Linked DNA regions of Struthio camelus. The protein of the gene in region 4 purifies or fractionates together with the protein of the main gene of each other region. This does not show direct contact. Links are inferred from orthologs where the notes say so. Each region holds a gene or a part of one and is shown on either strand. Other genes may lie near its edges. The genes, in order: DCAF11, GLMN, CDKN1B and CUL4A.

Region 1 (7,121 bases), on a different chromosome or scaffold from region 4:
CGCCGCTCCTCCGGCCTGCGCCACGCGGCCCCCCGTGACCCACGGCGCCGCCCCACGGCGGCCCGCCGGCCCCCCACGGCTCCGCCCCCCGGCCCCTCCCGCCCGTCGGCCGCCACCGCCAGCGAGAACACGGCGAAGCGCCGCTCCTCCGGCCTGCGCCCCGCGGCCCCCCGTGACCCACGGCGCCGACCCACGGCGGCCCGCCGGCCCCCCACGGCTCCGCCCCCCGGCCCCTCCCGCCCGTCGGCCGCCACCGCCAGCGAGAACGCGGCGAAGCGCCGCTCCTCCGGCCTGCGCCCCGCGGCCCCCCGTGACCCACGGCGCCGCCCCACAGCGCCCGCCGTGCCGCCCCACAGCACCCCAGCTGCCCCATAGAGCCCCTAACCTGCCCCACAGACCCCCCAGCTGCCCCATAGAGCCCCTAACCTGCCCCACAGACCCCCCCAGCTGCCCCATAGAGCCCCTAACCTGCCCCACAGACCCCCTAACTGCCCCATAGAGCCCCTAACCTGCCCCACAGACCCCCTAACTGCCCCATAGAGCCCCTAACCTGCCCCACAGACCCCCCAGCTGCCCCATAGAGCCCCCAACCTGCCCCACAGACCCCCCAGCTGCCCCACAGAGCCCCCAACCTGCCCCACAGACCCCCTAGCTGCCCCATAGAGCCCCTAACCTGCCCCACAGACCCCCCAGCTGCCCCACAGAGCCCCCAACCTGCCCCACAGACCCCCTAGCTGCCCCATAGAGCCCCTAACCTGCCCCACAGACCCCCCAGCTGCCCCACAGAGCCCCCAACCTGCCCCACAGACCCCCTAGCTGCCCCATAGAGCCCCCAACCTGCCCCACAGACCCCCCAGCTGCCCCACAGAGCCCCCAACCTGCCCCACAGACCCCTAATGTGCCCTATAGAGCCCCTAACCTGCCCCATGCAGCCCCTAACCTGACCCATTGGCCCCCCCTATCCGCCCCATAGCGCCCCCCCAACCTGCCCCCAGCCCCACCTGAGATCCAGGGCGGTGTGGTTGTCCCCGTCCCCGTAGATGTCATACACGTGGACTGGGCGGGGTCACAGGCAGAGGGGGAGGGGCCACATCAGCCACACCCCCTGGGAGGAGGAGCCTCACAGGCCCCACTCCTGTTCCCCCCCCCCCACAGCTAGCCCTGCCGGGGGTGGGGGGGCTTCCCCCAGCCCCACCCCCTGGCTCAGGCCACACCCCCACAGCCTGGCCCCACCTCCCTTGGGATCAGGCCCCACCCCCTGAGCTCAGGCCCCGCCCCCCAAGCTCACTCCCTGCAGCCAGACTAGGACAGAAGAGAAGCTGGGTGCTGCTGAGGGACTCAGGCTCCACCCCATAGGCCAGACCCCGCCCCAAGCCACACCCCCTGACACTAAGCCACACCCCCAGGCTCAACCCCACCCCCCAGGCTCATATCCCACCCCCAACCCACTTGCTCGACTAGCAAGTACTGCATTAGGTCCTGGCAAGGGGTTCAAGCCCCACCCCCAGGCTTCAGGCCCCGCCCCCAGGCTTCAGGCCCCGCCCCCTGGCCCAAGCCCCGCCCCCCAAGCTCCCCCCCCCCACCCCGACTCACTGTAGTTGGACCAGCTGGAGTAGAGGCACTGGGTGGCGTCGGGGCTGAAGGCCACGTCCAGGATGCTCCAGCCCACGTCGCGGCCCCGCGCCGCCCGCAACAGCCGCAGCTCGTCGCCCCGGCACTCGTACAGCCGCAGCGTGTGGTCTGCGGCGGGGCACAGCCGTCAGCGCCTGTACAGACCCCCCCCCCCCGCCCCCTCCCGCGGGTCGCCGCCCCGCTCACCCTGGCAGGCGGACACGAACAGCTTGCCGTCGTCGGAGTAGACGCCGCAGAAGGCTTTCTGCGCGTAACACTCGGCGAAGCTCACGTGGTTGGGCAGGAAGCTGTAGCCGAGTGGGGGGGGGGGGGGCGTCAAGCGGAGCAAGGCCAACCGCCGCGCGTCCCCCCCCAACCGACCCCGTCACCCCGCGGTTACTCACTGCGAGCTGACGCGGGATTTCTCCCCGCAGGAGAAGCTGCCGTTGCGACACCGGCCCCATTCCCGCTGCGAGAGGCGAGAGGGCGCCGTGAGGGGCCCAGGCGTCCGGGCGCGACCCTCCTCCCCCCCCCTCCCGGCCCCCCCCCCCAGCTCCCTACCTGCCGCAGGAGCCGGGGGAAGCTCTGCTCCGTGGGCCCCGGCCCCACGCGCCCCTCGGCCAGCTGCAGCTGCGCCTTCAGCTCGTGGCCGTCCAGCGCCCGCGGGTCCGGGCCGGCGCCCGCTGCCAGCGCTCCGTTAACGGCGGCGGCGGGCGGGCGGGTGGGTGGGTGGGGGGAGACGCTGCCCCCCCTGCTCCCACCCCCCCCCCCACCGCCGCATGCCAAGGGGCCCAGGCGTCCGGCTTACCTGGCGGGACGTAGCGGTCGCCCGGGCGGCCCTCCCAAGCGCTCTCGGCGTCTTCCTCGTCTTCCTCCTCATCCTCCTCCTCGTCGTCGGAGAGGTCCCGCGCCGCCTGCGGGTCTTGCACCAGCCGCACCCGCCGGCTGTGCGACGGTGGGGGGGGGGACAGAGGGGGGGCGTTAGGGGACATTCGGGGACGAGCAGAGCCGCCCCCCTCGTCCTCCCCCCCCCCGCCCCCCGCGGCGCCCTGGGGGTCCCCCCCCTTCCCACAATCCCCTGGGGCCGCCCCCAATTCCCCCCCCCAGTCTCCCACAATGCCCTGGGACATTCCCCCCCTCACCCCCGTATCCCACGATGCCCCGGGGCACCCGCCGGGGGCGCCTACCTGCGCAGGAGGTAGGCCACCACTTGCACCAGGTCGATGTCTCCTTCCTCGTCCTCCTCCTCCTCCTCCTCCTCCTCGTTCTCCCGCTCCTCGGCGGGGGGGGGCGGCGGCGGCTGCCGGCCCCGGGGCCGCCGCGGCCCCCCCGCCTCCCGCCCGCCCCCCGCGCCGCCGCCGCCGCCGCTGCTGCTGTGCGAGCCCATCTGCGGCGTCCCGCCTGCGGGGCCCCCCGGTTACCCCGGCGACCGGGCTGACATCGGTTACCCCCGGCGACCGAACTGCCCCCCCGGTTACCCCGGCGACCGGGCTGACATCGGTTACCCCCGGCGACCGGACTGCCCCCCCGGTTACCCCGGCGACCGGGCTGACATCGGTTACCCCCGGCGACCGAACTGCCCCCTGGTTACCCCGGTGACCGGGCTGACATCGGTTACCCCCGGCGACTGAACTGCCCCCCAGTTACCCCGACGACCGGACTGACACCAGTTAACCCCAGCGACCAGGCTGCCCCCCAGTTACCCCAGCGACCAGGCTGCCCCCCAGTTACCCCGGCGACCGGACTGACACCAGTTACCCCGGTGACCGGGTGCCCCCCAGTTACCCCGGCGACCGGACTGACACCAGTTACCCCAGCGACCAGGCTGCCCCCCAGTTACCCCGGCGACCGGGTGCCCCCCAGTTACCCCGGCGACCGGACTGACACCAGTTACCCCAGCGACCAGGCTGCCCCCCAGTTACCCCGGTGACCGGGTGCCCCCCCCAGTTACCCTGGCGACCGGACTGACACCGGTTACCCCCAGCGACCGGGTTGTTCCCCTCCCCCCCCCCGTGACCACCCTGCCACTGCCTGACACCCCCACGACCCCCGGCAACCGGCCTACCCCCGGTCTCCCGCGGCGACCGGCTGACCCCGGTATCCCCCGGCAACGGGCCCGGGAGAGGGGCGGCCCCCCCCCCCCCAGTGTCACTCCCAGTATCGGCCAATCGGAGCCCCGGGGTCGCCCAGCTCAATGTGGGGGGGGGGGAGGCGCGAGGGGGGGGCACAGCGGTGCCCCGCTGCCAGCCAATCAGAGGGCGGGGACGGGGACAGCCAGCCAATGGGGACCCTCTGTGCCGTGAGGGGGGGGGGGACACGCATGCTCTACCCCCCCCCCCAAAAGGTGGGGACCCCGCCGGCGCCCCCAGCAACGGCCGCCCCGGGTTGGGGGGGGCCTGCTCCACCAATCAGGGCGCTCCCCCTCCCCGCCGGCAACCAATCAGGAGCCGCTCCGAGGCGCCCCCCCCCCCAACCGGCGGCGCCCCCCCCTCACCTGGTGGCCGCAGCAACTTGTTTACGCAGCCAGAGCGGAGGCTCCGGGGAGGGGCGGAGCCTAGGCGCTGCGCCCTGATTGGCTGCCACCACCCCCCCACGGGGGGGGGGAGCCCCCAGCCAGCTCATTGGCTGCCGTCCCCCCTCAACCCCGCCCCCCCCACAGCAGGCTCTGATTGGCCGGGAGCTGATAAGCGCCGCCTCCTGCCTCTCCCTCCCCCCCCCCCCGTTGCCTGGCGAGGCAGGTGCTGATTGGCTGGCAGGGCAGATGATTGACAGGGAGGGTGGGACGTGGAGGGGGAGGCGCTCTCCCCGATTGGCTGGAGAGCAGCTGGGGTGGGAGGAGCAAGCCTAACAATGCTCCCTGATAGGCTGGGGGGTGAGGGGGGTGGGACTAGCGTGACTGACAGCTCCCACAGAGCCTCAGTAGCTGCCGATTGGCCGCGGCGAGTTGGTCCTAGCTCCTCCCCCTCTGACCCTGCCCCATAGCTCCTCCCCCCTCTGACCGTTGACCCCCCCCCCAAGGACAACACAGACCTGGCTCCGCCCCCCTGAGGGCTCCTTTATTGGTCCCCACCCGCCCCAAAGGCACCTGGGAAAGGGCCGGGCGGCGGCAGGCTCCGGCCAATGGGGTGCGGCGACGTGGTGGGCCGACAGGGCGCGGCGATTGGTCAGGCGAGGGGCGGCGCCGGCCCAAGCCCCCCCAGGTGCCGCCCCCTCCCTTCTCCCCCCCCCCACCGGAGGCCGTCGGCCAATGGGCCGCGGGTCCACGGAGACGTCGGCCAATGGGGTCACAGTGGCATCAGTCAGCAGGCGACGGCGGCCGGTGGGCGGAGCCGTCGGGCAACAGGGCGGTCGGACGAAGGACGGTCAACCAAGATGGCGGCCAGCAGGTCATGGAGACCAAGCAACAAAGATGGTGGCCAAGGGGGCGCAGTGATTGGTCAACGAAGGTGGAAGCCAAGGGGGCGTGGCGATTGGTCAACAAAGATGGAGGCCAGCAGGTCATGGAGACCAAGCAACAAAGATGGTGGCCAACGCAAGGCGGTGATTGGTCAACGAAGGTGGAGGCCAACGGGATGCAGTGATTAGTCAACGAAGGTGGAGGCCAGCAGGTCATGGAGACCAAGCAATCAGGATGGTGGCCAAGGGGACAGGGCGATTGGTCAACGAAGGTGGAGGCCAATGGGATGCAGTGATTGGTCAACGAAGGTGGAGGCCAGGTCATGGAGCTCAAGCAACAGAAATGGTGGCCAAGGCAAGGCGGTGATTGGTCAACGAAGGTGGAGGCCAGCAGGTCATGGAGACCAAGCAACCAGGATGGTGGCCAAGGGGACGCAGTGATTGGTCAACGAAGGTGGAGGCCAACAGGTCATGGACACCGAGCAACAAAGATGGCGGCCAAGGGGACGCGGTGATTGCTCAAGATGATGGTGGCCAGCAGGTCCCGGACACTGAGCAACCAAGATGGCAGCTGAGGGGATGCAGTGATTGCTCAACGAAGACGGCACTCAAAACAATGCGCTGATTGGTCAATGAAGACGGTAGCTAAAGAGATGTCATGATTGGTCAACAAACATGGAGACCAGCAGGTCATGGAGACCGAGCAACAAAGATGGAGGCTGAACAGAGCATAGTAATTGGTCAACAAAGATGGTGGCCAGCAGGTCCCGGGGATCGAGCGACCAAGATGGAGGCCAAGGGGACATGGCGACTGGTCAATGAAGATGGCGGCCAGCAGGTCCCGGAGACTGAGCAACAAAGACGGAGACCGAGGGGGCGCGGTGATTGGTCAACGAAGACGGTGGCTGAGAGGACGTGCTGATCGGTCAACAAAGACGGCGACCATCACGTTCCAGAGACCGAGCAACCAAGATGGAGGGCAAACGGACGGGGCGATCGGTCAATGAAGAAGCTCGCCAGCAGGTCCCGGAGACCGAGCAACGAAGGCGGAGATTGAGGGGGACGCGGTGATTGGTCAGCGAAGACGGCGGCCAACGGCTCGCGAAGAGCCAGCAGCGAAGGCGTCGGCCAAGGGAGCACGAAGAAAGGTCCGCGAAGGCGCCGGCCAGCGTTCGGCGGCGGGCGGGCGGTCACATCTTCTTGAGGCGCTCCTCGAGGGCCTCCAGCTCGCCCAGCACCTCCTTGGGCAGGTCGGAGCCGAACTGCTCGTCGAAGTAGCGGCGCAGGTCGCGGGCCTCGCGCTCCCAGAAGGGCCGGTCCATGGGGAAGAGGTCGGCGTAGGTGACGCCGGGCAAGCCGGCCAGGTCGAGGGCGCCGGGTTGGGGCACCAGCCCCACGGGCGTGGGTCGGGCGCTGGGCTCGCCGTCCACCCGGCGGCACACCCAGGCCAGGACGCGGGCGTTGTGGCCGAAGCCCGGCCACACGAAGCGCCCGGCGCCGTCGCGCAGGAACCAGTTGACGTGGAAGATGCGGGGCAGGCGGGCGCCCGCCCGCTCGCCCACCGCCAGCCAGTGCGCCAGGTACTGGCCCGCGTTGTAGCCGAAGAAGGGCCGCATGGCGAAGGGGTCGTGCATCAGGCGCTTCCCTGGGTCGGGGGGGGGCGGGGCCGGTCAGCGGGGGGCGGGGCCTCGTGGTGGGGGCACTGGGGTCAGGGTTGGGGGGCACTGGGGGCACTGGGATCAGGGTTGGGGGGCACTGGGGATAGTGGGATCGGAGTTACGGGGTCGCTGTGGTCAGGGTTAGGGGGGTACTGGGAGCACTGGGGACAGGGTTCGGGGCACTGGGAACACTGGGGACATTGGGGTCAGTGTTATAGGAGCACTGGGGACAGAGCTGGGGGGCACTGGGAACACTGGGGACAGGGTTGGGGGGCACTGGGGATGTCAGAGTCAGGGTCATAGGGGCACCAAGACCTGTGGGGACAGGGATAGGGGGCACTGGGGATACTGGGGCCACTGGGGACAGGGAAAGGGAGCACTGGAGACACTGGGGACAGGGATAGGGGTTCACTGGGGACAGAGATGGGGGCTCACTGGAGACACTGGGGCCACTGG
Region 2 (7,663 bases), on a different chromosome or scaffold from region 4:
TCCTCTTCTTCTCTGCACAGTCCCAAAACACTTGGAAGTCTTTTGTGCCGCCTCCCCCAATTACAGTCACAAAAATGCCCTCATGCAGAATTATATACTGGGCTACGGCATTCATATCAGGGAAGGACTTAACTAACTTAAGCCTGCTCCTAAACTTATTGAGCTTGGTGAGGAAAGTTTCATCTAAACCATTTACTTTGTAGAAACAGCTTTCAGTATGATGACTTGCTTTTTTGTTATTATTATTAGAAAGAAAACATTTTACGGAATCATTTTCCGCTAACTACAGTATCAAGTAAAAGTAATGGCAGTTATACTGTTAGGCATGTTCACAAAACTGCTGAAAAGCTCCACATTAATTCCCACTGCACAACACAGTCATCCTGAGCTTGATCTCTCAGCTTTGGCCAGATGAAACTATCCTGTATTTGGCCTGGGCCATGCAACTAATTCTGGACTTGATTTCACCATATGTGGTCACCTTTCTCCTACTGCAGCAGGAGCTCCCACTCTATGTACCGTTTCCAATTTGGTCATGGAAAACTTAGCTAGGAAACCCACATGTACCAGAACTGTAACATGTTCCTGCAGTGCTTCGCTTCAGGTAACTGCAGCAGGAATAATCCTCACACAACGCCAGCAAAACAGTGCTGCCAGATAAACTTTGGGGCAAAGAGCAGCATTGTAGAAACTTTCTCTAAATCCACAGAGGAGGTGATCCGGAGCTACCGTTTTAATATTTCACCCATCAGTCAGGAGCTCAAGAGGCATAAATGAAGGCTGTGGTAATAAAGTGAGTATATACACATAAGTGTATACAGTCCTTGAAAACTAGGGCATATTTTCTCTGCAAAACCCCTGAAAATACGGCAATCGTCCTCAGATCTGAAGAGATTTGTCTACTTTAAACTGCAGAAAACAGCTCCAAGAACTTTTTAAAAAAATTCTAACGCTAAGATACAAAATGGTATAAAAACTTGCAACACTTACAGAATTCACAAGGAACTCTTCAGTGATGTTCTCTTCCAGCAGCTGTTCAACAGTATACAGTGCTTTTTTTTCAAATTCAATCTTCTTTCTAATAGCAGCCTCCAGGGCTGCTTTCCTTTAACAGAACAAACACTGGATGACAGAGAGAGCAGACTCCCATGAACAATTTACCCAGTCTTCTCTATCTCTTTTTTCTGAAATATAGCAGCTTATATTTTTCTGCATTTCACCATGGTGGCCTAACAAAGCAACAAGTAATTGGACTAGGAATTTTCTAATAATCACAGGCCACCAAACAAGTTTCCAAACTTTGTTTACTTTTCTCTTCCCCTCAGTCAGAAAAGCATTGACTCTTATTGGCAAAACACCACAGAAGAAAAAAGTAAAAGCTTCAAGAGGGAGAAGAACCTCCTGTCTGGTAAGTAAATACATTGCTGCCACAAGATAACTAACTATATCAGTAGGTTTGTTGTGCCTGTGACACTTAAAAAAACAAAAACAGAGAGCTCTGCAAGAAGAGACAGTAATTTTTGTTAGACCAAAAGATATAATGGGGAAAAAAGCAATCATCTTTTGCACACACAGAAACCCTAGTTTAGGACTACTCTATCACCCCAAACCAGTTCTCCCAACAGAGGAGGCTCAAAAGTGTAAGAACTCAAAAGGCAGGGGTACGCTTTTTACTACATAAGCATGTAAGAGTCTAACTATACAATGGAATTACACGTTCTGCCACAAGAACTGCAGTTTTGCTTGCACTCATTGGTCATACGTTCCATTATATCCTTCCAGGTGGCTGCAATGAGACTCCACTATGTATTACATTTTCTTGATATACCCGGATTTTGGTCTTTGCTGAATTTTATTCTCCTGCTCTGAACTACGGTGATTAAACACCAGCAGCCCAAGTGACAGAACAGAGATTTCCCTTTGTAGTTCTTCCTCTCACCAGAAAAAAACCCCTCTCCTGCCACTTGCATCGGCACTAAGATTCTGAACGTTTTGGGCAGCATTTACTGCTCATGTAGCCACTTGTTTCCTGCTCTGGAACAGGTGACATGCTGTCCCACCCAGGTTAAAGGAAGAAGGTATGAGCCCATAGGTAAAACAAGGACAACCATTTAATCTTCATTTCTGAAAAGACTGGAGGTTAAACACGTTTCATTTTTCTTTCTGGTCAAGCTATTCTCCTGGAGCTTGGCCTAAGTACTATCAAGTCTAGGATGACAAATCTGAGACTTAAGATCCGCATGAAGTTAGTGCGCAGTTCAAGTCTGCCATTCAGATGGGTAATAAACGCTATGTAAACCAAATCTCTGGCACTTGGAAGGGGCAAACCAGACCAAGTTGCTCAGGCTGACATTTCTGAGTCATTGTGTGAGCCAGCTACATGCTCATCCAACAAGAAGATGTCAGCTCCTCCCCCACACCTGTACAGCACATAATATCTGTCCTGCAGCTTTTAGCCCTGTTAAGATTTAATATACAGCTCTGGACTCAAAAGTTGGCTATAATCATTCTAAAGAATACCGGGTTCATGTTCAGCAAATGCTCAATAAGAGATGGAAGAGATGTATCTGTTTTTCCAAGGGTCATTTGAGAATCCCCCAGAGAGGATAGGAACTGGTTTCTCAAGTAGGATCTTAAAGAGTTAAGACACTCCGAAATCAGTGTTTCAAGATTTAGATAAAGAGTTGAGAAAATAAGATAGAAATCTAATTATTAGCAGTACAGTCTGAAATCCAACAACAATGTCTTTTGACTTAAGTCAGCTATTATTACTTTACCAGAAGTATTACTTTTAAAAAAGCCAACTATAAAACCTGACTCTTCTTAAAAGGAGGGGAAGCCCAGAACGGGCTGGACCAAAAGCCTGGGACAAACATCTATGGATTGACAGGAGAGGCGTCAAGTACAGGAAAGAAAAAGGACTAGGACAAGACTGAGCGTGAGGGTACAAAAGAAAAGAAGGAATAAATCAAAGGGTTTCAAGGGGAAAAAAATGATAATACCACCCTCTACAGCTACTATCACTCACTACCTTGTCTAGTGCTTTAAGTAGGGAAGTGGTGTTTTATCTTGTAAGTGTTTGAATGAGGTATCTCTATATTAAGGTATGTAGTTAAAAGTTATGCAGCATCATTGAAAACAGGTTAGCATGATCTGTATACTGGCTTATTTCCTTAAGTTAGCTATGGTATTTTGAGAAAGAAAAAGAAAAAAGTGAAATGGAGAATATAATCAAAATGAAGCAAAACAATGAGATCGCTATGTACTACTAGTTAGAAATCGTACCTCTGAGCAGCATCTTCATTCTTCAGAGCAGCTGAATGCTTATTTCCTAGAAATCAAATAGATAAATCAGTATACCTTCTTCCTTTAAAATGCATTTTAAGCCGTGAACAAACGGAACTGTCATGTTTCCATGCTCAGCCACCGTGCAAATAGTTCGATCCAGGAAAACATTACAAACTCCAAACTGTAACCATAATCAAGGCAGTTGCTTAGGCGCTTGGTTTTTGGTGGCTGCGCCTAGCTACCGTAAGCTGGTAATCCACTCAGCAACTAGTTAGACGCAATCTTTGTACGCGAGCGGACAGACAGGCCTAACGCTGTTCTCTCGTGTGACAGGCTCTGCATAACGAGCAAGCGAGAGGAAAACGGCTTCTGTCTGAGCTGAGAAACGCAGCTCTCCCCCTGCGGCCACACCGCTGGGAAGCGATACCCTTTTTTCACCCTCCCCTCACTCTGGCCGCGGGCAGGGGCTGCCTTCGGCCACGCAGGCCCCCCGCCCGGCCCCCCGCCCGGCGACAGGCCGCGGCCTCCGGCACGGCACCGCCGACGCAGCGGGGCTCTGCCTGCGCCAACCCCGCTCTCCTGCGCCCGCCCAGGCAGCCCCTCCGTGCCAACACACCTGACGTCTCCCGCACTTAAGAGGAGACGCGGCGTCCCCCCGCCGGAGCCCCGTCCTCCCTGCCACCGCCCATCTCCTTCGTGCATACGCCACTTTTTTTTTTTTTAAAAACATGAAGCCATTTTCAGTACTTTCTGGGCAGTCAATACTGTCCAGGCAAACACGGAGCAGCAGGGCGGAAACAAAACAGACTGATAAGCTTCACACGTGTATTTTCAGGGGCTTTGATCAGCTGTGAAATGCGGCGCGTTTGACGCCCGGCGCCGGCGCCGCCCACCGCGGCAGAAGCGGGGCCCGCAGCCCCAGGAGGAGGCGGCGGCGGCGGCGGCGCCGCACCGCTGCCCGCCCCTCCCCAGCCCCACCGAGCTCACGGCAACCTCTAGAGCCCCCTCCAGCCCCGCGGGCACCGCCGGAAGGGCGGGAGCCGCGCCGGGAGGTGTTCCAACCGTTGTCGCCGCACAGGCAACAGCAGAGACCCCGGGAACCCGCAGGCCTCCTCTCCTCCTGTGCCGCGAGTTGGGTCATTCCGCCGGAGCGGCCTCAGGGCACAGGGAGAGCCCACGGCGCCGCACGGGGGGGGGAGAGGGGCGGCACGCGGAGCCTACCTGCGCGCCGCCGGCTCGCTTTCCCCTTCGCGACGCCCTGCGGCTTCGCGGCCGCCATCATCGCTGCCGCCGCGCTCCCTCCCTCTGACCTCTGACCGGGAGGCGGAGCCGGGCCGCGGCCGCGAGCGGGGAGAGGCGGCGGCGGCGGCCGGGCGGGCCGGGCCGGGCCGGGCCGGAGCGGCGGGAGGCGGTGGCGGTGGCGGCGCGGAGGGGCCGCAGCCCGGCGGCCGCGGCTGAGGTGAGCGGGCGGCGGCGTGGTGCGCGTTTCGTTCAGCCTGGCGGGCGCGGGCGGCAGCCGCCTCGCGTTGGCCTGCGTGCCGTCGCCCAGCGAGGGAAGGGGCTGAAAACAACTGGATGTTACCAGTGAGGGGGCAGTTCGCTTGAGAATTGGTAGCGGACAGTTCTTCGTGATTCAGGTGTCGTTGGCTACTGAAACCACTGAAAAGACTTAATTCGGAAGTGGATTAAGTGTTAAGACCTGAACTGGCTCTGGGCTCAGCTGGCAAATCCCTGGCAGCTCAGGGCATGCCTCAAGGCTGTCAATGCATTATAAAGTTACTGAGGGCTGAAAATGCAGGGCTATTAACGTTCAAAAGTATCTTTACATTGTTTGGGGGGAATTAGTAAGATCCTGTAAAATTAAGAGCTGAAGTAGTGCAGTGAATGCTAACAAAGTGTATGATAATCACAAAATTAAAATGACAGGCCCGATGCATTGCTACATTGGAGTGAAGTAGAAATGTTAAAATAGGCAATTTAGAACAGAAAGTAAGTTATTTATTCTTTCAGTAATAAAATTCACATACGGGTGCTTTATAGGTTATAGTGAGTTGACTGATTTTTGTAAATATCTGAATAGCTTAGATGCGTAGGTATTGCGTTAGCTAAGGTCAAACTTAAGGGGAAAGATGGAGAACCGTACATGGAGATGGCCGTATAGATACGGAGCTTGGATATTTTCGTGAGAGTTAGCTGTTCACTCAAGGGCAGAGGCAAGTGACTTGTGCATACAGTCACAGTGGTTATGTAACCATATTTATGCACGTGGAATTAACGTAAAGCATAAAGAAAGAATGTGACTACCGCTATGATATATCACGTGAGAAAACTGAACTTGACTTTATTTGTAAGTCATGGCCCTGACCAGGTAGAACTTGATATGCACTTAATTTTACTCAAATGTTTAACTTAACTGCTTTCAGCAACAGCAGTTGTAGTGTCTAGAGGTAAAAGGCCACTGAACCAGCAGTAGAAAGAAGTAAATGATACTGCACATGTAATCTTTATGAGACTAAAACGGTGTTGATATAAACTGGCACGGTGGTTGGATCAGCTATGCACATCCCAGGCATCATCTAATTAGAGCCTTCTAGTCAGATCTAAGCAGAGAGCTCATCTGATTAGCATATTCAGAGCAAATGTAGCGTAGCGGGGACATCCGCACCTGGTACGCAGCAAGTCCAGACTTGCTCTGCAGTAGTTGCAGTTCTCAATGTAGGTGTTCATGTAGTAGCCAAAGCCTGCTGACAAATTTTTAAGATACCTCTGATAACATTTGAAAAATTACTCCCCTGTACGCAATGTAGGCTGCTTCCTGTCTAAAATAGTATCTCCTGCAAGTACAGGAGGTAGAATAATATAGCATACACTCCTTAAAGATGCTTTTCTCCTATCTTTCTATAATTCAGTCTTCGTAATATGTTTGTCTTGAGTCTTCTCATTTCTCTATTCAGCGTTCTTTTGACAATGTGATTATTTTTCAACCTCTGTTTTTACTTTGGGTGGTTTAGTATTGCACTCTTTTTAATTTATTACAGAAATTTTAAATGCCAGAAGAACAAAGTCAAACTATAATGGCAGTTGATGAACTTCAAGCCATAATACAGAGATGCGTAAGTACTTTTCATAACAGTTGTAGGCGAAAGCAGAGTAAGTTTGTCTTTATACACTGTAATTAAAAGCAAAATGACCCTAAAAGCAGGACGGTTGTTAGCAGAACTCCTCATTGGGCAGCTAGGTTTAGCCTTCATGCTTCATTGCCTTCTCTTTGGTGCTTATCCCAAGATGCTTGGTAACTTCTGCCTCTTGGAGGAAGATATGTTCTTGTTTCACTCAGCAGTAGCTGTGTGAAGGAACAAAACGCTAGCAGATTGTTGCAGAAAATGCATCTCCCAAGTAACATGCTGTTGTCTAGACTTGGAAAATACTATTGAAATACTGCTTTCTCTTCTGTAGTGGCTCTCAGTAATTATTTTTAGTATATAAAAGATGATATGCAAGAAAAGACATTCCATTTGACTTTGCAATGAAAGCTTGGGTTTGCTTATTTTTTGTCTTTTATAAAATACAGAGTCAAACATGCGTATTTTCTTTCTAGCAAATTCTGGAAGAAGCTGATTTCAGGGGAGAAGATTTTAATCTGTTTCAGGTAGCAGGCCAGAAGTGTTTAGAAGATGGATATGCAGCTCAGTTATTAGAAGTAGTTCAAAATGAGAAAAATAAGGTAAGTTTAGATTTATGTTACGTCTTAGCTGTGTGCTAAACACACCATTAATAGTTAAAGCTGCATATGAGGTGGGAAAGCTACTTTCACTATGGAGTAAGGGTGCACATATGAATAGTTAATCAGTTGGTCTGTGTGAAGTGCACATTCTAGTGTAATTTGAGTTACTATGACTTGTGTACTCAAGTCACAGTAATCTTAACAAAGCTATTAACAGCTGTTTTCCTGTGAGTTAAGCAGAAGGGAGAAGAGAGGCCAACCTCATAACGAACAGAAAGTGACAGTGGCCCTCTGTGGCAGGAGAGAGAATTTCAGATGGCTATAACAGCATTGGCCAAAACCGTAAGAGCAAACAGCTAAGCTGATGCTAATGGAAGAGAAATTGTGTGTATGCGCTTTGAGGGGCTGGGAGAACGTACTTACGTTGAATATAGATAAAGAGGAAGTCTGAAAGGAAGGGAGGGATGGAATGTTTTGGCAATATTGCTCGAGTCTGATTATGATCTCTGTGATCATCTTCAGTAGCAACTGAAGGTCTTCAAAGAATGGGTTTTCCCGTGGACAAAATATTGTCCAACAATAATTTCTTTAAATTTTCTTTCCTTGATTTGTCTATTCAAAAACCAGCAAAAAATCTCCTATTTGAAACGT
Region 3 (7,658 bases), about 75 Mb from region 4:
GAACAGGCCCCTGCCCGAGTAGAGCCCTCCCCCAGGCCAACCCCATGGCAGCCAGGGCTCCCCCAGCCCCGCTGTTCCCTGGGAGGTTGGCCCAACCCGGCTTACTGGCTCTGGCGTGATCTTTGTCCTTAGGCTCCCTCTAGAGTTTACATCAAATGAGCAAAAGGTCTTAAAACTCCAGTTGGCTTCCACATCTTTTGTCAGTCTGGGGAGTTCAGGTCGGTGGCTGGGCGCTTGCAGCTCTCCTCCTGCCTGGAGCAAGGAGGAGCAGGCAGAGCTGGCAGCAGGATCAGCTAAGCCATTGGGAAACCATGCTCTGTCCCTACAGCAAGCTGAGGAAAGAGGGTTTGGGCTTCTTGTAGCTCCCCTCGTGCATTTTTCTAGTGCTGGTCACTGGTGAATTATATCTGAGAGACTTGGTAGAAGAAAATAGCATAGGCCTGTTTCCTCTGTGACACGCTACTGCTAAACCTAATAGGGTCCTAATTCTGCCAACAAGGGAAGGGTTACTTTTAGGCATGTTAAGAATATCCCTAGTGACCTGTGGTGAGATCTTGGGGTCTGTGCCTTGCATCTCATGATGGCCTCATCCCAAATTCCTTGAGGAAGCTAGCATTTTTCCTGAAATATTGGAGGTGTGAGGAAACAATCAACCCAATAAAAACAGAGGTGGGTCAGAAGCTTCCTCAAGCCTTCAGCTTTTACAGGCTCATTTCATGCCATGCCACCTTCACCCTCAGCTCTAGAAGAAGCATCCTGTGGAGCAGCTCAGGTATTATTCCCAATTTACCTACAATTTGTAAGGGAACATAAAAAATCCCAAACAACCCAAACTCACATCCTTTATGTGTATAGTTTAATGTGCTTTGCTGTTTAGTTAGACAACCTCATTAAGTGTTGGGGAAGGAGGGTGGCCAAAATGAGGCTGGGAAGCTTGCCGAAGCAGTTTGGGAGGAAAACAACATGGAGAAGCTCTGCCAGTGCTAAAGCCCAAATAGGAGAGTGGAGCAGGGTACTGGGAAAAGAGGGGACAGGGTGTTCAGAGACCATTAGCCAGGACATTCCTCGCACAGACCTCCGTATAAACAGTCCTCGTTCCTTCCTAGTCCTCTCCTCCAAGTTTTTTTTTTTTTTCGTGTCTCCCTTTCTCTAATCCTCCATTCCCGATCTTTGCCTCTCCTTCTTCAGCTTAAATGGCAAGAGCGAAAGAGAGAGAGCTAGCAACCTCGAGGGAAGAGCCTGGCTCTCCCCGGGGCTCGGCTCCTCGTCAGTTCTAGGCGGCTGCGCGGCCGCGCAAGGCAGCGCACGGCCCCTGCTCGGGCCGGGCTGCTGTGCCCGGCTTTTGCAAGACGATGGCGCTCTGATATTTCGCGATCTTTACTGCGGGGCTCTATAGTATTTTTTCACGCTTCGCTGCTACTACAGCAGGCGCCTGCCTCTCTCGCTATTTGCTGCAGCCATCGGGGGTGCCTGACTGTAAACAAAACACTTTAGATCATGGCAAGGTCGCTGCAGACACAGCCTTTCTCCTCGCAGCCGCCGCGATTTAAGGTGGACCCGCCGCGGCCGAGCCCTTGCCCGCGGGGGGAGCCAAGTGCCGCGCCGGGGCCGCGCAACCTCGTGTCCGCCCTGCTATTTTTGCGTCTTTTTTACCCCCCCCTTCCCTCTCCCCCTGTCACTACGCTCATTTATCCCAGCGCGACCCGAGTGTGCCGCAGCCCCGGGCCGGGGAGCAGCGTTTTGCGGGGGCCGCGATAGCTGCAGAGGGGCCGCTGCAGGCTCAGGTGCGGCCCCCCCGGCCCGCCCCGGACCCCCCTTCTACTGCCCGGGGAGGCGCCGCGGGCCCCCCCGGCCCACCTGCCTCCTCCGCGGCCACCGGCCTCGGGGCCCCCCTCCGCCGTGGCCGCGCGCGGAGATTTAAAAGAAGAAGTGATGGCATAAGCCAGATGCAGACCACTCCTACTTCGTTTTGCTTTCACTGCCATCAGTGGCTCCATTGATTTTCCCCCCCCCCGTTTTTTTAGTTACTGGTTTTAATTATCCAGGTACATTTACTACTCTAGCATCTGGGGGCTCAGTCTTAGGTCCTGGTGCTAGGGGCGGTACAAGCAGAACCAAAAAGAAGGTACTTGCTCTAAAGCTCTGCTTTTTCAAAAGCTATAGATAAATCAGTGCTCCTTTCTGCTGTAGTCACCTTCCTGTTTGCTCACCTGTGGCACACGCAATCTTTTTCCCAATGCTCGCCCCCCATTATTTTTGTTTTGGTGGAGGTTTGTACCCAGGTGCGGTGTCGTTCATCCTACCAAGGGGCTTGCCTCTCTGAGTTACTGTTTGTGGACTTCTGGAGCCCTCATGGACTCAGGAATCGTACACTGGCTCCCAAGCAGCCAGGGAGCAGGGACTGGGAATTTCTCAGCTAAGAAGTTACTGGTCAGACCTTCAGCAGATTATCAGCAGGCTTTGCCGCATGAAGGCCCCATCAGCACTATGAGCCCTGGGCATCTTCAGGGGAGCCCCAGGACATATTTTGCATATTGCTTTCTTAGTGTTTGGCTCTTTTGTTTAATCATAGCAAAGCAAGTGTCCTACACCTGGCAGAGAAAGTGAAGAAAAGTTTGAAATCACACTTCCGTGCTGGTAACTATGAAAGTCAAAGACAGGAAAAGCCTGGAGAAAGGAAGAAAAAATCCTTTAAATAAAGCAGACGAATAGGCCCCACTTTGCCAGCTCAGGGAGTTTTATCAGAGAGTTGAAACTCAAGAAAACTCTTAAGCTCCTGCAGACATGAGAATGTCAGCTTTAATTTTCTGCAAGTGAATTGCTAGAACTTGTGGTTGCTGAGAGAAGTTGGAAAACAACTTCTGAGTGCTAAAAAAACCGAGCAAACAGATAGAAATAACATGGCTAATATTTTATTTCAACCTTGTGGGTTTTAAAACAATCTCATTTTGTATTCTTCTTGTTTTAGCTGCACACATCATTTTTTGAACTTGGAGGTGGCAATACTGAGATTACCCTGGAGAGAGTGGGCTGAGCAAAGGCCAGGGGGCTGCTACCTCCGGGTTGCTGCAGGCCAGCAGACTGCTTTGCCCAGGGCTTGAGTTCTGTATAACTGTTATGTTCCCTCTCCCAGTGTTTGCAGAGTTTAGCTCGTCACTTCACAAGAGCAATTGCAGTCAAAGTTTCAGTGGCCCTTCAGGACTGTAGACCCCAAAGCACTATGTGTATGTGTTCAGCACAGGGTAAAAACCTCAATGTCTTCAAGGCCAAATCAGTTGACCCTGTTCTCTCAGCCAGTTACACCTAGTTGTACTGACTTCCACCTCGTTGAAATAGTTTGTCACAGCTGCAGTCCCAGCTTTGGAGAAGGTTGGCCTGCCTGCAGAGAAGAAATGGGCAGACGGATTGGTGTGAAGAGCCTCCATGCTCCCAAACTGGACCCGGGTCCCCGGAGAGGTCAAGGCCTTTAGCAGTAGGCGGCAGCATCCTGGGGGTGTGCTGGCTCCAGAGTACCTGCAGTGTCCTGCGACATGCCCTGCTGCTGTCCATGGGGCCGCTCTGCCTGGTGATGGGAGATGGCTGAGGAAGGGGCGGGAGATAAGCAGGGTAGAGCAGAGGACACTATGTGCCTCTTATCTCCACCATACCTGCTGCAGCTAGCTGAGGAAGTAGCTTAGAAAATCCCTGGCTGTGATTCTTGGCTCATCTAATCTTCAGAGCACACAAACAGGACGAAAACTAATGCTTTTGTTTTCTTTTCCCGGCTTGCCGAGTTCTGAAATCCCAGCAGAGGTTTTTAGAGCCGTTTTTTCACCTAGTCCTCTCTCTGTCGGGAGGACAGCAAGAGGTTATCTTTCCCGCCCTCGCGCCTTCCCCTCAGAGCCACCAGCCTGACTCTGCAGCGGGCTGGGTCAGGGTGCTGGCGGGTCAGGGTGCTGACAGGGAGAGGTGCCCGTCCTCTCGGCACGCCCCGGGGGAACGAGCCCCCTGCTAGCCCCGGGCCTGCCTGAACTCCCGACCTGGGGTGCTGCAGCGCAGGAGCCCAGTCCCGGGAAAAGCAGCGATGGGCCATTTCTGTCGCAAGAACGGGTCAAAATGTAACTAGCCGCCACCATTTCTCACTTCAGCCCTTTCAGCCAAGCGACGGGATTATTTTTTTTTGGGGGGGGGGGGAGGCGGAGGGGAGCACAGGCTCAGCCCAGCCCGGCCCTTGCAGAGGGGGGCGGCGGCTGTGCGGCCCCAGCGGGCTCGGGGCGAGCGGCGCCTTGGCACAGCGCTCGCCTCCCTCGCGGTCCTGCCCGCTCCGTCCCCTCTGCCCCCTCCCTGCGGCCGGGCGCGGGGGGCGGCAGCCCCGCCGGGGCCACCTTTAGAGCCGGCGGCGGCGGCGAGGTAGGGCCGCGCCGACGGGGCGGCGCCCGCCGCCGTAACCAATGGCTCGGCTCCGCTGTTTAAATAGACTCGTCCTGTCAATCATTTTCTTCTTCGTCAGCCTCCCTTCAATCGCCATATTGGGCAACTGAGAAAAGGGCTCGTCTCCGCTTGTTTTTTTCCGTCTCGCCCTTACTACGCGGCCGCGGGGAGAGCGGCGAGGCGCGCGGGCGCGGCGGGGCATCGGCGGGCAGCGCGGAGCCGCCGGCCGGGCCGCGGAGGGCAGCGCCGCTCGCAGCCTGCGCGCTCGCCCGCGCAGCGCCTGACCCGCCCGGGCTCGGCGGCGGCGGCGGCGGCCGTCGGGGCTCTCCCCTCGCCCCGGCCCGGCGCTTATGCGATTGTTTGCCGTCGCCTCTTCTCCGCGGTCCCGAGGAGGTGCCGGAGAGCGGGGCAGCGCGGCGAGGAGGAGCGGAAGAAAAGCTTTCACCGCGGAGAAATAAAAGGCAGAGAGGAGGAGGAGGAGGAGGAGGAGGAGGGGTGGGGGGAGAGCAGCGAGAAAAACAACCGCCGCCAGAAGAAAAGAGGGTTGTGGGGGGAGATGTCAAACGTACGCATTTCTAATGGGAGCCCTACCCTGGAGCGCATGGAGGCCAGGCAGTCGGAGTACCCGAAGCCTTCAGCTTGCAGGAACCTCTTCGGGCCGGTGAACCACGAAGAGTTAAACAGGGACTTGAAGAAGCACTGCAAGGAGATGGAGGAGGCATGCCAGAGGAAGTGGAATTTCGATTTCCAGAATCACAAGCCCCTGGAAGGCAGGTACGAGTGGCAAGCCGTGGAGAAGGGGAGCTCGCCCGACTTCTACTTCAGGCCCCCGAGGCTACTCAAAGCCGTCTGCAAGTCCGCCGGCCACCAGAGCTTGGATGTAAACGGGAATTGCCAGACCGTGATTTTTGTTGGTTCTCAGGGAATCTCAGAGGACACTCACTGTGTAGATCAAAAGACTGATGTTTCTGAAAATCAGACGGACTTTGCAGAGCAGTGCACTGGGCAGAGGAAAAGACCTGCCACTGACGGTAACGTACCCTTGCGAAAGCCGTGCGGGCCCCGATGGTGTCAGCGCCGGGGCTCTCGACCCCTTCGCCCGCACCATACGCGTCCTTGCTCCGGGGGGGCTCTGCCCCGCCGGGCACCGTTTTAGGTGCCCCACAACCCCCAGCCTCCTTTCGCCTTAAAAAGCCCAGGTGCTGTTTTTAAGTCCCAGGAGCGTCCGACGTGCAATGGGAGCCGGTGGGTGATTTGCAAGCAAAAGCCCTTATACACTAGTAACACCCTCTGCGGGAACCCGGCTCCCTCCGAGCAGAGGAGCAGCACCAGGGGTTTCATAACGCCCGTGTGAAGCAAAGGACGGACAGGGATTTTAGATAAAAACAGGAAGCTTGTCTCTTTTACCTAGGGAGGAGCCCTTCTCTCCTCCCCCTGCTCTCCTTCACTTAATCGATAGTAGACATGGGGAGCCGGCAATGTTCCCTCCCCGGCCCCATCTACCCCTCCGGATGCCGAGCAAAATTTGGCAGGAAAATATTTTAATATCACTGTTCCCCCCCACCACCCTTGTTTTTAATTTTCCCCTCCTAGATTCCTCTCCTCAAAATAAAAGAGCCAACACAACAGAAGAAGAGGTTTCAGAAGACTCCCCCAGTGCAAGTTCAGTGGAGCAAACACCCAAGAAATCAAGCCCAAGAAGACATCAAACGTAAACTGTTTAGGTAGGTTCCCACTAGGACCTGGCGTTAGGATGCCAGTTAGGCAAAGAAAGGGAAACCGAGGGCGGTATATATCCTGCCACTATAGGGAGGCTTCAGGCCACTCCAGGCTGGCTGATGAGGCGTTTCTCCTCCGAAACTTTACAGACCGCGTACTTTTTCCCCTAACGCTTTTTGCCTGGGTGTGTGGGGGTGGGACGTTTCTTTGAAAGGAACAAAACGAGCGCGCAGCCCCGCGGGCGGAGCGGCGGCCCGAGGCGCGGGGGGCCGCGGGGCTGCGCCGCCCGGTGCCGCCGCCCGGTGCCGCCGCCGCCGCCTCTTCGCATTTCGCTCCCTCGGATAAGGGAGGCTCCTCTCCCAAAGGCTGCCGGGCCTGCGCCGGGGCGGGGGGACGGGAGTTTCAAACGCGACGGTTTTATCATGTCAGGTGACAAAGGGGGTTGGGGGGGAGCTTCCCCCTCCCGCCTTGATGCCTTTGCACGTAGTTTACAATGTCAGCATTGTCTTCGCACGGAGCAGCCGACTTCCACCTCGGGAGGGCTGAGTAAATAAGTTGGATGGAACGGGAACGGGGGCATTTTCTTTAAATGCGAGCTAGACAACCTTTTTTTTTTTTTTGTTTCCGGTTGTTTTGGTTTGGGTTCAGACGCTGGCAGAAGGGTGCGTTTACGGGGAAGGGAGTGGGTTAATGGGAGCTGGGTCTTTTTTGTTGTTGTTGTTTTGTTTTAACGTGAGGGCTGGGGCGGAGGGAGTTGGTAAATTCTGCCGGCGGTTTCAGAGTGGAGGTTAGAAGAAAGGTTTACAAACGCGATTTGCGATTGTGCTGGAGAGATTAAGCTGTAAAGCAGAAGTTGCAACAAATTAGTCCTGCTGGGGTGAGCGGTGGCAGAGCACGTCAGCATGCGTGTCTATGCAAATGCTGCTACTACCGCCCGTTTGTTTGGGTGGGGGAAGCTGCTCGGCGGCAGGCCGGCGGAAAAGGGGTTAAACCTGGCCGAGAGGAGGGTTCTCGCATTATTTATTTTTACTCCAGCGGCACAAAATGCGTTTGTGTCCCGAAAGATGAGGAAACGCAAGCGCGGCGCTTCGGGCCCGCTCGCCCAGGGCCTGCAAAGCGGCCGCCCCGCCGGGGGAGCGCGGGCCGGCAGCGGCGGGCGCCGGCGCGGCCGCAGCCCAGACGGGGCGCACGGCCCGTGGCGGGGGGGAGGCGGCCGCGGGGCGCCCCCGGGGCCTCCTGTGCGGCCCGGGCTGCGCTGTGCTGTGCTGCGCTCCCCGCCCCGCGGAGCCCTGGCGGCCTGAACCAGTTGCGCCTGCCCGGCGGCCGCCGAGGAAAAGCATCACGTTTCTTTTCGACGTTTCTAATGTCTTCTCCTCCCGTCTCCTTCCCGTTGCAGAGTTCGGAATTTGCGTTTCCTTGTTCATCGGATGCCTCGGGGGTCTGTGAAGCGAGGAAAGTGTAAACTTGTAGTAAAAATGAAAATACATATCGTCGATCTCCATGGGATGGAGATCCTGTACAAGCACTGA
Region 4 (7,489 bases):
GGCATTTCTTCCTACTGCCTCACTTTCTCTATCTGATCAAACACAAGCTACCTTTATCAACATCTTTGCAAACTACCACCAGTCCCAGGCACCATTTCTATTTTAGTAAAATAAAATTACCCATCACCCTCCGATTGCTCTCTGACTATATCTCTGCTAAGCACCTCCATGCTTTATCCCATGCTGCTTCTAATGCTTGGAAAGGAGTATCCTTCAGACTTCCCAGAGAGCCTCATCATTGTTCTTCAGTCTTTCTTCAGCCACCATGCCAAATTAGATAGATAAATCAAGAAGTTCAAAAGCAGGCTGGCGTGAGCCTTGTAGGCCTCTCACTTCCTCTCATAACGTCAGATAAAGGCACACACAAAAAAGCCCTGGTAGTAAAAAGAACTGATACACACACAAAAATATTCCCCTGAGGACTCTGTGCTCACCATCAAGCTGTTAAAAATGAACTGTAAGTACAGATCAGGTTTCCAATAGATGCTGTACTTGGTCTTTTATTCTTCTGGCAGGAGAGTACGTACATAGGCAAAGACACACTCACATCCACTACCTGCTGTACCAGAACCTTTCTGGTTTGCACCTCTACCTGACATACTGGCCTTACAACGTGCAGTTTTTGCAAAGGAGCATGCAAGCCGAAAAAGCAAGAAATAGAGTTTTCCCTTCGCAGTTTATCTGAAATCTCTCTCTTCCTCTTCTGCCAGAACTCAAGTCTATACCTTAGTGATTTCATACCCATATCACTATAATCTCATTTCTGAGCTTCTGAAAACAAGTTAGGCAAAATTCAAAGCATCTGCATGTTTTTGCCAGGCATGAAAAAGCAGGATTTTTCACGTGCTGAGTTTAAAACCATAAAATATGTTATGTAATTCAAACTCTGCAAACTCGTAAGGAATAATAGATGCGGAAATCATGGTCAAGTGGTCCTTTTAAAAGCACCAAATTATATGAAGACAATATGGATTTATTTAATCACCCATTTTACACCCATATATTAAATACCTTAACTAATCGTAGAGTCCAATTTATGCTGACTTTTTGAGTATGGCCTCAGTGTGGACTGGATTTCTCTTCCCTCACAGTCTATGCTTTCCAAACTCCAAACCTACCTCTGCTGAGCATTTAAAAGATTTTTCATGGCAATACTGATGTCTTAAGTCTTGATCTGACAATGAGATCCACATCTGCAGATCAAACATCTGCACCAACAACAAACTCATAACTAACTTCAACTACATAGCACAACCTATTGTATTAGCAGTTTTTTGATAACACGATTATTGTAAAAAAAAAAAGTACTAAAGTGGCATATCTCAAAGCACATACATTTACAATAATATAAAACTACATCATGCATAAATGGAGAAAACGGTGAGGAAGAAATGGCTCATGCCCATTTCTTTCTTTTACCCTTCCTATCCCCTATCCCGTGGTTTAGATGTTCCAGCAATAATTTTTCACCATTTTAACACAAAAATTTAAGACATCAGTTCTTTTGAAAATACAACAGTAATGTGAACCAGAGATGAAGGGATAGTTTGTTGCCTACTCAATTTTAATTCCCCAAAATGTATTGATGACGAAGCCTAATTATTATTATAGCCAATATTTTAACATTTAACAAATATTTTAACATTTAGTATTCACTAGAGACTAAAGCACACGTGGAAGAGAAATCATCACAAATTATACACCTGCATAACGAAGCGATGGTAACATCCAATTTTCAGTATCCTGACGCTTAAAACGTCAGCCCTGCCCAGACGGAGCCTCCCAGGTATCCCAAAATAATTTGCTTTTTCACGAGCTCAGACCCTGGTAGTTTTCCCAGGACCTAAGAGCCACTTTTCTACAACAGTGAAAACGGGCTAGAAACAATACCAAGAAAACAGTCCGGGACATCCAATCCACTTCTAACTAATCAAGACACACCACGTTAAACCTGTAGGTCTCTCCAAGTCCCAAAGCAGTTAACGCTCTGCCTGTTACAATAACCATAAACACTACGCATCTTACCTGGTAGAGCTCTTCAAGGTTGTACTTAATAGAAATGCTGCTCTGTATTGCTCCCACTGCTTCGTGAAGTTTTTGCCATGTGTCCTGAGTATAATTATCTGGTAATTTGGGTCTTTCTGTGGGGGGGGGGGGGGGGGGGGGAGAAGAAAAAAAAATTATACAGGTAGTTGAAAACTAACCAGCCAAGGAACGGCTATCCGTAGCAATCTTTCTCAACGCGCTTTACTCATTTCCCCCAAAGGAATTTTTTTCTGTGTGACCGCTTAAGCGTGAAACAACAATAACAAGGTGGCCGCCCCCACGCGCAGGGCAGGGCAGGGCAAGGCCACGCACCCGCGGCCGGCGCAGCGGGCGGACAGCCCACCCACCCCCCCCCCGGGCACGGGCTCCGCGCACCCAAGCGCCCACCCTGCCCGCCGAGGGCCGCTGGCACAGTCGCTGCCAAAGTTGTGAAAACACACCCGAAGCGTCCGAGGTGTTGACGGGCCCCCGAAACGCTCGTCCGCTCCGAGGCGGCGCCACCCGCCCCACCGCCGCCGCTATCGGCGACATGTCGCCCCTCGGCGGGGCGCCGCGGGGAAGGGGCGGGGAGGCGGCCGGGCCCGCAGTAAACAAAGGTCGGGAAAGGGCCGGGCGGCGGGGGCAGCGGCCCTGGCACCTGCCGCGGCCCCGCCCGCCCCGGGGCAGCGCCGCGCCGCGGGCCCCGCACCCACCTCTGAAGTTCTTGATCACGAGTTTCTTGGAGGAGGCGGTCGCGCTGCCGCCGCCGCCGCCACCTCCTCCTCCTCCTCCTGCGGCGCGGGCGGCGGCGGCGAGCGAGGCGGGCTTGGTGAGCCCGTTAGTGTGGCCCACCAAGGCCGACAAGTGCGGCTTCTTCTGGGGCTCGTCCGCCATCTCCGCCCCGGGCGCCGTGTCCGGCCGGGGCAAGGCGCTGAGCTGGGCTGGGCTGGGGCCGGCTAGGTCCCCGCCTCCGCTCTCCTCCTCCTCCTCCTCCTCCTCCCCCACCGCTCCGGCTTCCCGGCCCTGCCCGCGGGCGGCTGCCAAGTGCCGCCGGGCCGGGCCGGCCCTCGCAGGGGGCGGCGGCACGATCCCCGCTCACAAGATGGCTCCCGAGCACGCCGGGCGGCGGCGGCGGCGGGCGGGGGGGGGGCGCCGCCATGGCCGCGCAGCCCCCCTCTGCCCGCGCAGGGGAGCCGGGAGCGGAAGGCCTGCGGGGGGTAGCGGGGGGTCGGTTAGCCCAGGTAATCCTTCCGAAGGGCCTCAGTTCCCTGCGCTGCCTCTGGCTTTTATTTCGTGGCGTTTGGCACAGGGCTGCACCGTGCTTTCTAAGGAACCGGCTGTTTTTCATGCCTCGAGTTATCTCGCCTTCGGAGCTCTGAAAGCAAGGCAGTTTCAACAGCTAATGCTCAGTTTAGCTTTTTTTTTTTTTTTTTTTTTTGACCCACGCTTATACAGCCCATCCTTGCAGGCAGCGTTGCTCTGGAGGGCACAGCCGTTAACGACCAGAAAGGGACAACAAACGTTGAAAAACTAAGGCCACGGGCGGCAGGGGGGGGGGGGGAAGGAGACCGTTTCCCCAACAACACACCTCTCTGCTATCGCTAGGACCCAGGCTAAAAGGTAACACGAACCCGGGAAGCTAAACGCGACTGCGTGCCTAGCAGAGGGAGGATATGGACCCCTTCTACCAAGCGCTGTGAGAAAAAGGGCAAACAGGAGCCGGGGCCGCCCGCCCTTCACCGCTCCTGTTACCGACACCAACCAGTACGCCAGCCCCTACGCGCTCCTATGGCCACGAGCACCCCCCGCAGGCTCCGCCCCCCACGAGGTTTACCCGCTGACGCGCGGCCTCGGCACCGCCCACCTCGCCTCCCCATTGGCCGCCGGGGGGAAAGCCACGCCTCCCGCCCCTCGGGGGGTGGGGAAGAGGAGAGGCAAGTGCCGTCCCGCTGAGAGCAGCGGGAGCCGGGGTGGCGTTACGTGATCCCTTCCTCCCCGCCATTCGGAGGGCCGGAGCGGTGTCACGTGGGCTGCGCGCGAGGCGGTCGGTGTGCCGGAAGCGCCGTGGCGGTTGCCGGAAGTTGCGCGCTGCGCCGCGCCCTGGCTTGAGGCTGGGCCTGCGGTGAGGGAGGGCCGGGCCGGGCATGGCGGAGGTGCCGCCGGGGGCAAGGGCGAGGGCTGGAGGTGCCGGCGGGGACGTGCTGGGGGATGCGGGCAGCAGAGCAGTCCAGCCGGGCGTGTCCGTGCGGCCGTCGGGGCTTTCCTCCCCTCCCGGCGCTTCGGTGGCGCGATTTCCCCCTCCGCACAAGCTCCGCGCAGCAGGCGGGACGCGCCTGTGCTCTGCTTTGCTTTCCCTGAGGCTGCGTCCTTTCCCTAGAGGCCGGCAGCAGGTGCCGGGTCCTGAAAGACTGGGTAAAGTCGTACCGAGTTGCCGAAGGGGGAAAGAAGAGACCTAGTTGGGATTTTGTCACTTCGTTGTTCTCTAAATCTGCTGTTGGTTTTCAGAATGGGACACAACTGCGTTTAATCGGGGACTCCTGCGTCGTCTACTTCTATTTTAATGGCGCATATCACCATAAATCAGTATTTGCAGCAAGTAAGCAAGCTTTTTATTTGTGGGTACTATCAGAATATAAGGGCATGTGGAGGTTTTTTTTTTTTTTTGGCTGGAAATGCATTTTCTTGTTTAAGAAGTCAACCTAGAATGTGTAATGTGGTAAATAAATATACTTCTTAATGTTGTGATAAGTACATTAACTGTCTGCCAAGGATGTATTCCTGAATAGTGTGAGGACTACTGATATGATGGATGGTGAAGCAGTTTGTCCATAAGAATTAATGTGGTGGAATCGCATGTGTGCGGGGATTTAATAAATATACACAGTTTAAACGCAGAGACAAAGTGTTTGTGGCAGGAGGCTGCAGAGGCAGGAACAGGATCATAAGGATCGTCAGCTGGAGTGAATCCTCAATGTCAAGCTCTACAATTCTTGTTGCTTCTTTTTGAATGATCACGTTTGCATCACTGTTACCATATTCCTTTCTTGAGTTAGGGTCAGTCAAGTTAATTGAGTGAAGGAGAGAAAAAGTGAGTAATTTTTGTTGTTCAGCCTCAGAAATGAAGCAGTTGAGATCTCCCACAACAGTGATTTGCTCTGAAAAGTCAGCATCTTCTCTTGTTAACAGTCTCAATGATCTCTCCTCTCCATCCTCCATACCATATCTGCTGTGGAAGTACTTTTAGATATTAGTTGTTAAAATCCCCTTCCCAATTCCCATGCTTAATTTGTCATATTTTAATGTCTTGGTAGGAAAAATATCTTTACTATATGAAAAGCCTGTACTAAATCAGAACACTCATAGGCAAAAACTCATAGACTAAAACAGCAAGGAAAGCTGCAAAACTGAGGAGAGAACATAAAATCAACTGCTAACACTCTTCCAGAGACTGTTTGCTTTCAAGTAAAGGAGAATTAATATTATCTTCTGCAACTGGCTTTTTATTATTAAATACTATAAGTTCATATGAAATCTATTTGCAAGTCCTGATTGGTGACAGGACCAAATTACATCTGCAGCATCACAAACAGTAATGCTCAAAGATTTTTTTTTTTAATGGTTCACATATATATTTGGTGCTCATAAGTCCAACTGGAATTTTTAAAAACTTCGAATCTATTTCACAGCCGCTATCTTAAGATGCGAAACCTATGTAACTTCTTTTGGGCTTCTCTGATTTGGTTGTATCCTACAGAAAAAAAAAAACCTGTTTACTTCACCTTCTCTCCTGATAGCTTTTTGAAAACAATTAAAAGTAATTAAAACAATTAAAAGTATTAACAATACTGTACCGATATTGATTCCTTCAGTTTTAAACTTTTTAAAACTTACATTTGGGAAGGTGCTGATACGCATGAACAGTGATAACAAGGTAGCTTCCTTAGGTGTATGTAAATATGTTGTCTGGCTGTGGCTAGATTGTGTTCTGTAATATGTTTGTTTTCCTGGGTAGGTACAAGAAGCTATCGACAGCAGAGATGGACAATTTTGTGCGGAATTGGTATCATTTAAGCATCCACATGTTGCCAACCCTAGGCTTCAAGTAAGACTCTGTTATCCTGAGAAAATCTGTTTTTGGCCTTATTTTGTGTTCAGTTTTCCTCTCTCTCCATTGGGATTTCTTTCCACGGGGTAAAATCCTCAGAAATCTGCTTTACACCTCAGAGCAGGTTCCCCTTGTAGGTTTGTTCTCCCCTTTCTTTTACAAGTATACTATCTATCTGCATCTTTTCCTGGATGGCTTTTTGTCCTCCGTTTTGAATTGTTTTCTGGATAGGCGTTTTGAAGGCTCCCTGTGGCCACGTCTGCATGAGCAAGTGAAGTGGCACAGTGGGAGTGGATATGAAGATCAAATCACCTGGTCCTGAAGATCCAGTGCTTGCACTAAGTGTTTCAGAGGCTTTTATCTAAGACTAGCTCTAATCTGGTCCTGTGGACAGAGTGGACGCTAGCAGTTACATTGCACTGAGCGTGAGTCTTAGCATAATGTAAGGTTCTGGTAGATAGCAAAGGCATGCATGCGTAAGACTGCCATGATAAAATACCCTTATGATGTTCTATTTCTGGTGCAATGTCTGTTCTTTTAATGTTTCATTAATTTATTTTATATTTATTTTATACTTAGCTTCCATCTCCAGAAGAAAAGTGTCAACAAGTTTTGGAACCACCATATGATGAAATGTTTGCAGCCCACTTAAGGTAATGGCGGACCACGAATGGACAAGTCATTTGTGAGGCATGCTGTAGGGATGGGGAAGCATAGCCTTGAGTTTACTTGGTTATTTTAAAGGGCTTACATCTGAACATTTGGCATTTACTGCTCTTATAAACAGTGCTAGAATTGCAGGAAATAAAAACTTCTCTTTCTTATGTGCATAGACTTTGCTTTATGCACCTGACAGTCATCTGTATATAGCCCTTGACACAGCTTTGGGTTTGGTGCTTGCTATTTCATTTGTTCTTTTTTACTGGTTACACAGGAATTCAGAGTGAAATAAGGAAGAGAAAGAAATGTTGGGGGGGAGGGGGAGAGGGGAAGGAAATATTCATCCTAAACCTACTCTTAGGACAGCTGTAAGAGTCAAATAATTCTGCAAGGCTTTTATTTGAAAAAATTCAGTATTAACACTATCTTATTAACACTGTCTTATTAACACTATCTTTTAGCTCACTTTCCAAAGTCTTAGAATTTTTTTTTTTTCTAGGCCAGTCTCAGTGACAGTGTCAGTAAGCATTAGCTTATTACAGTTGATACTGTGCAGATTATAGAAATAAGGCCCTGTTCATCTCTCAGATCAGTTTTCCCCAACTGTCAAACTCGGTGCTCTATTAAAATGCTTGTGTCACTGTGTTAGGAATATTTCTAAAAAATATTTCTGTTTTTCTTTTACATAGAGTGTAAGGC

What was found.
Region 1: the proteins of CUL4A (region 4) and DCAF11 purify together in Homo sapiens (affinity purification with mass spectrometry; 13 studies listed by BioGRID and IntAct, counting the BioPlex papers as one, with this or other methods). This does not show direct contact. The link is inferred for Struthio camelus from reciprocal best matches to the Homo sapiens genes CUL4A and DCAF11.
Region 2: the proteins of CUL4A (region 4) and GLMN purify together in Homo sapiens (affinity purification with mass spectrometry; 5 studies listed by BioGRID and IntAct, counting the BioPlex papers as one, with this or other methods). This does not show direct contact. The link is inferred for Struthio camelus from reciprocal best matches to the Homo sapiens genes CUL4A and GLMN.
Region 3: the proteins of CUL4A (region 4) and CDKN1B purify together in Homo sapiens (affinity purification with western blotting; 5 studies listed by BioGRID, with this or other methods). This does not show direct contact. The link is inferred for Struthio camelus from reciprocal best matches to the Homo sapiens genes CUL4A and CDKN1B.

What each region holds. Positions count from the first base shown.
Region 1 is NC_090970.1:262,887-270,007, forward strand, and holds the start of DCAF11 (DDB1- and CUL4-associated factor 11), read right to left. Parts: upstream 3,013-7,121; 5' UTR 2,999-3,012; coding exon 2,799-2,998; intron 2,557-2,798; coding exon 2,420-2,556; intron 2,295-2,419; coding exon 2,173-2,294; intron 2,081-2,172; coding exon 2,016-2,080; intron 1,920-2,015; coding exon 1,819-1,919; intron 1,741-1,818; coding exon 1,594-1,740; intron 1,057-1,593; coding exon 1,002-1,056; intron 1-1,001. Other genes in the region: PCK2 (phosphoenolpyruvate carboxykinase [GTP], mitochondrial), read right to left, coding at 6,198-6,652. UniProt on the Homo sapiens protein: May function as a substrate receptor for CUL4-DDB1 E3 ubiquitin-protein ligase complex.
Region 2 is NC_090949.1:18,831,887-18,839,549, forward strand, and holds the start of GLMN (glomulin), read left to right. Parts: upstream 1-4,662; 5' UTR 4,663-4,747; intron 4,748-6,326; 5' UTR 6,327-6,335; coding exon 6,336-6,401; intron 6,402-6,886; coding exon 6,887-7,012; intron 7,013-7,663. Other genes in the region: putative RNA polymerase II subunit B1 CTD phosphatase RPAP2, read right to left, coding at 991-1,105, 3,286-3,331, 4,510-4,570.
Region 3 is NC_090942.1:81,531,038-81,538,695, forward strand, and holds the start of CDKN1B (cyclin-dependent kinase inhibitor 1B), read left to right. Parts: upstream 1-4,642; 5' UTR 4,643-4,966; coding exon 4,967-5,441; intron 5,442-6,003; coding exon 6,004-6,125; 3' UTR 6,126-6,134; intron 6,135-7,525; 3' UTR 7,526-7,658. UniProt on the Homo sapiens protein: Important regulator of cell cycle progression. Inhibits the kinase activity of CDK2 bound to cyclin A, but has little inhibitory activity on CDK2 bound to SPDYA. Involved in G1 arrest. Potent inhibitor of cyclin E- and cyclin A-CDK2 complexes.
Region 4 is NC_090942.1:156,807,774-156,815,262, forward strand, and holds the start of CUL4A (cullin-4A), read right to left. Parts: upstream 3,005-7,489; 5' UTR 2,920-3,004; coding exon 2,739-2,919; intron 2,647-2,738; exon of another isoform or gene 2,578-2,646; coding exon of another isoform or gene 2,487-2,577; intron 2,142-2,486; coding exon 2,026-2,141; intron 1-2,025. Other genes in the region: PCID2 (PCI domain-containing protein 2), read left to right, coding at 4,586-4,621, 6,038-6,127, 6,710-6,783. UniProt on the Homo sapiens protein: Core component of multiple cullin-RING-based E3 ubiquitin-protein ligase complexes which mediate the ubiquitination of target proteins. As a scaffold protein may contribute to catalysis through positioning of the substrate and the ubiquitin-conjugating enzyme.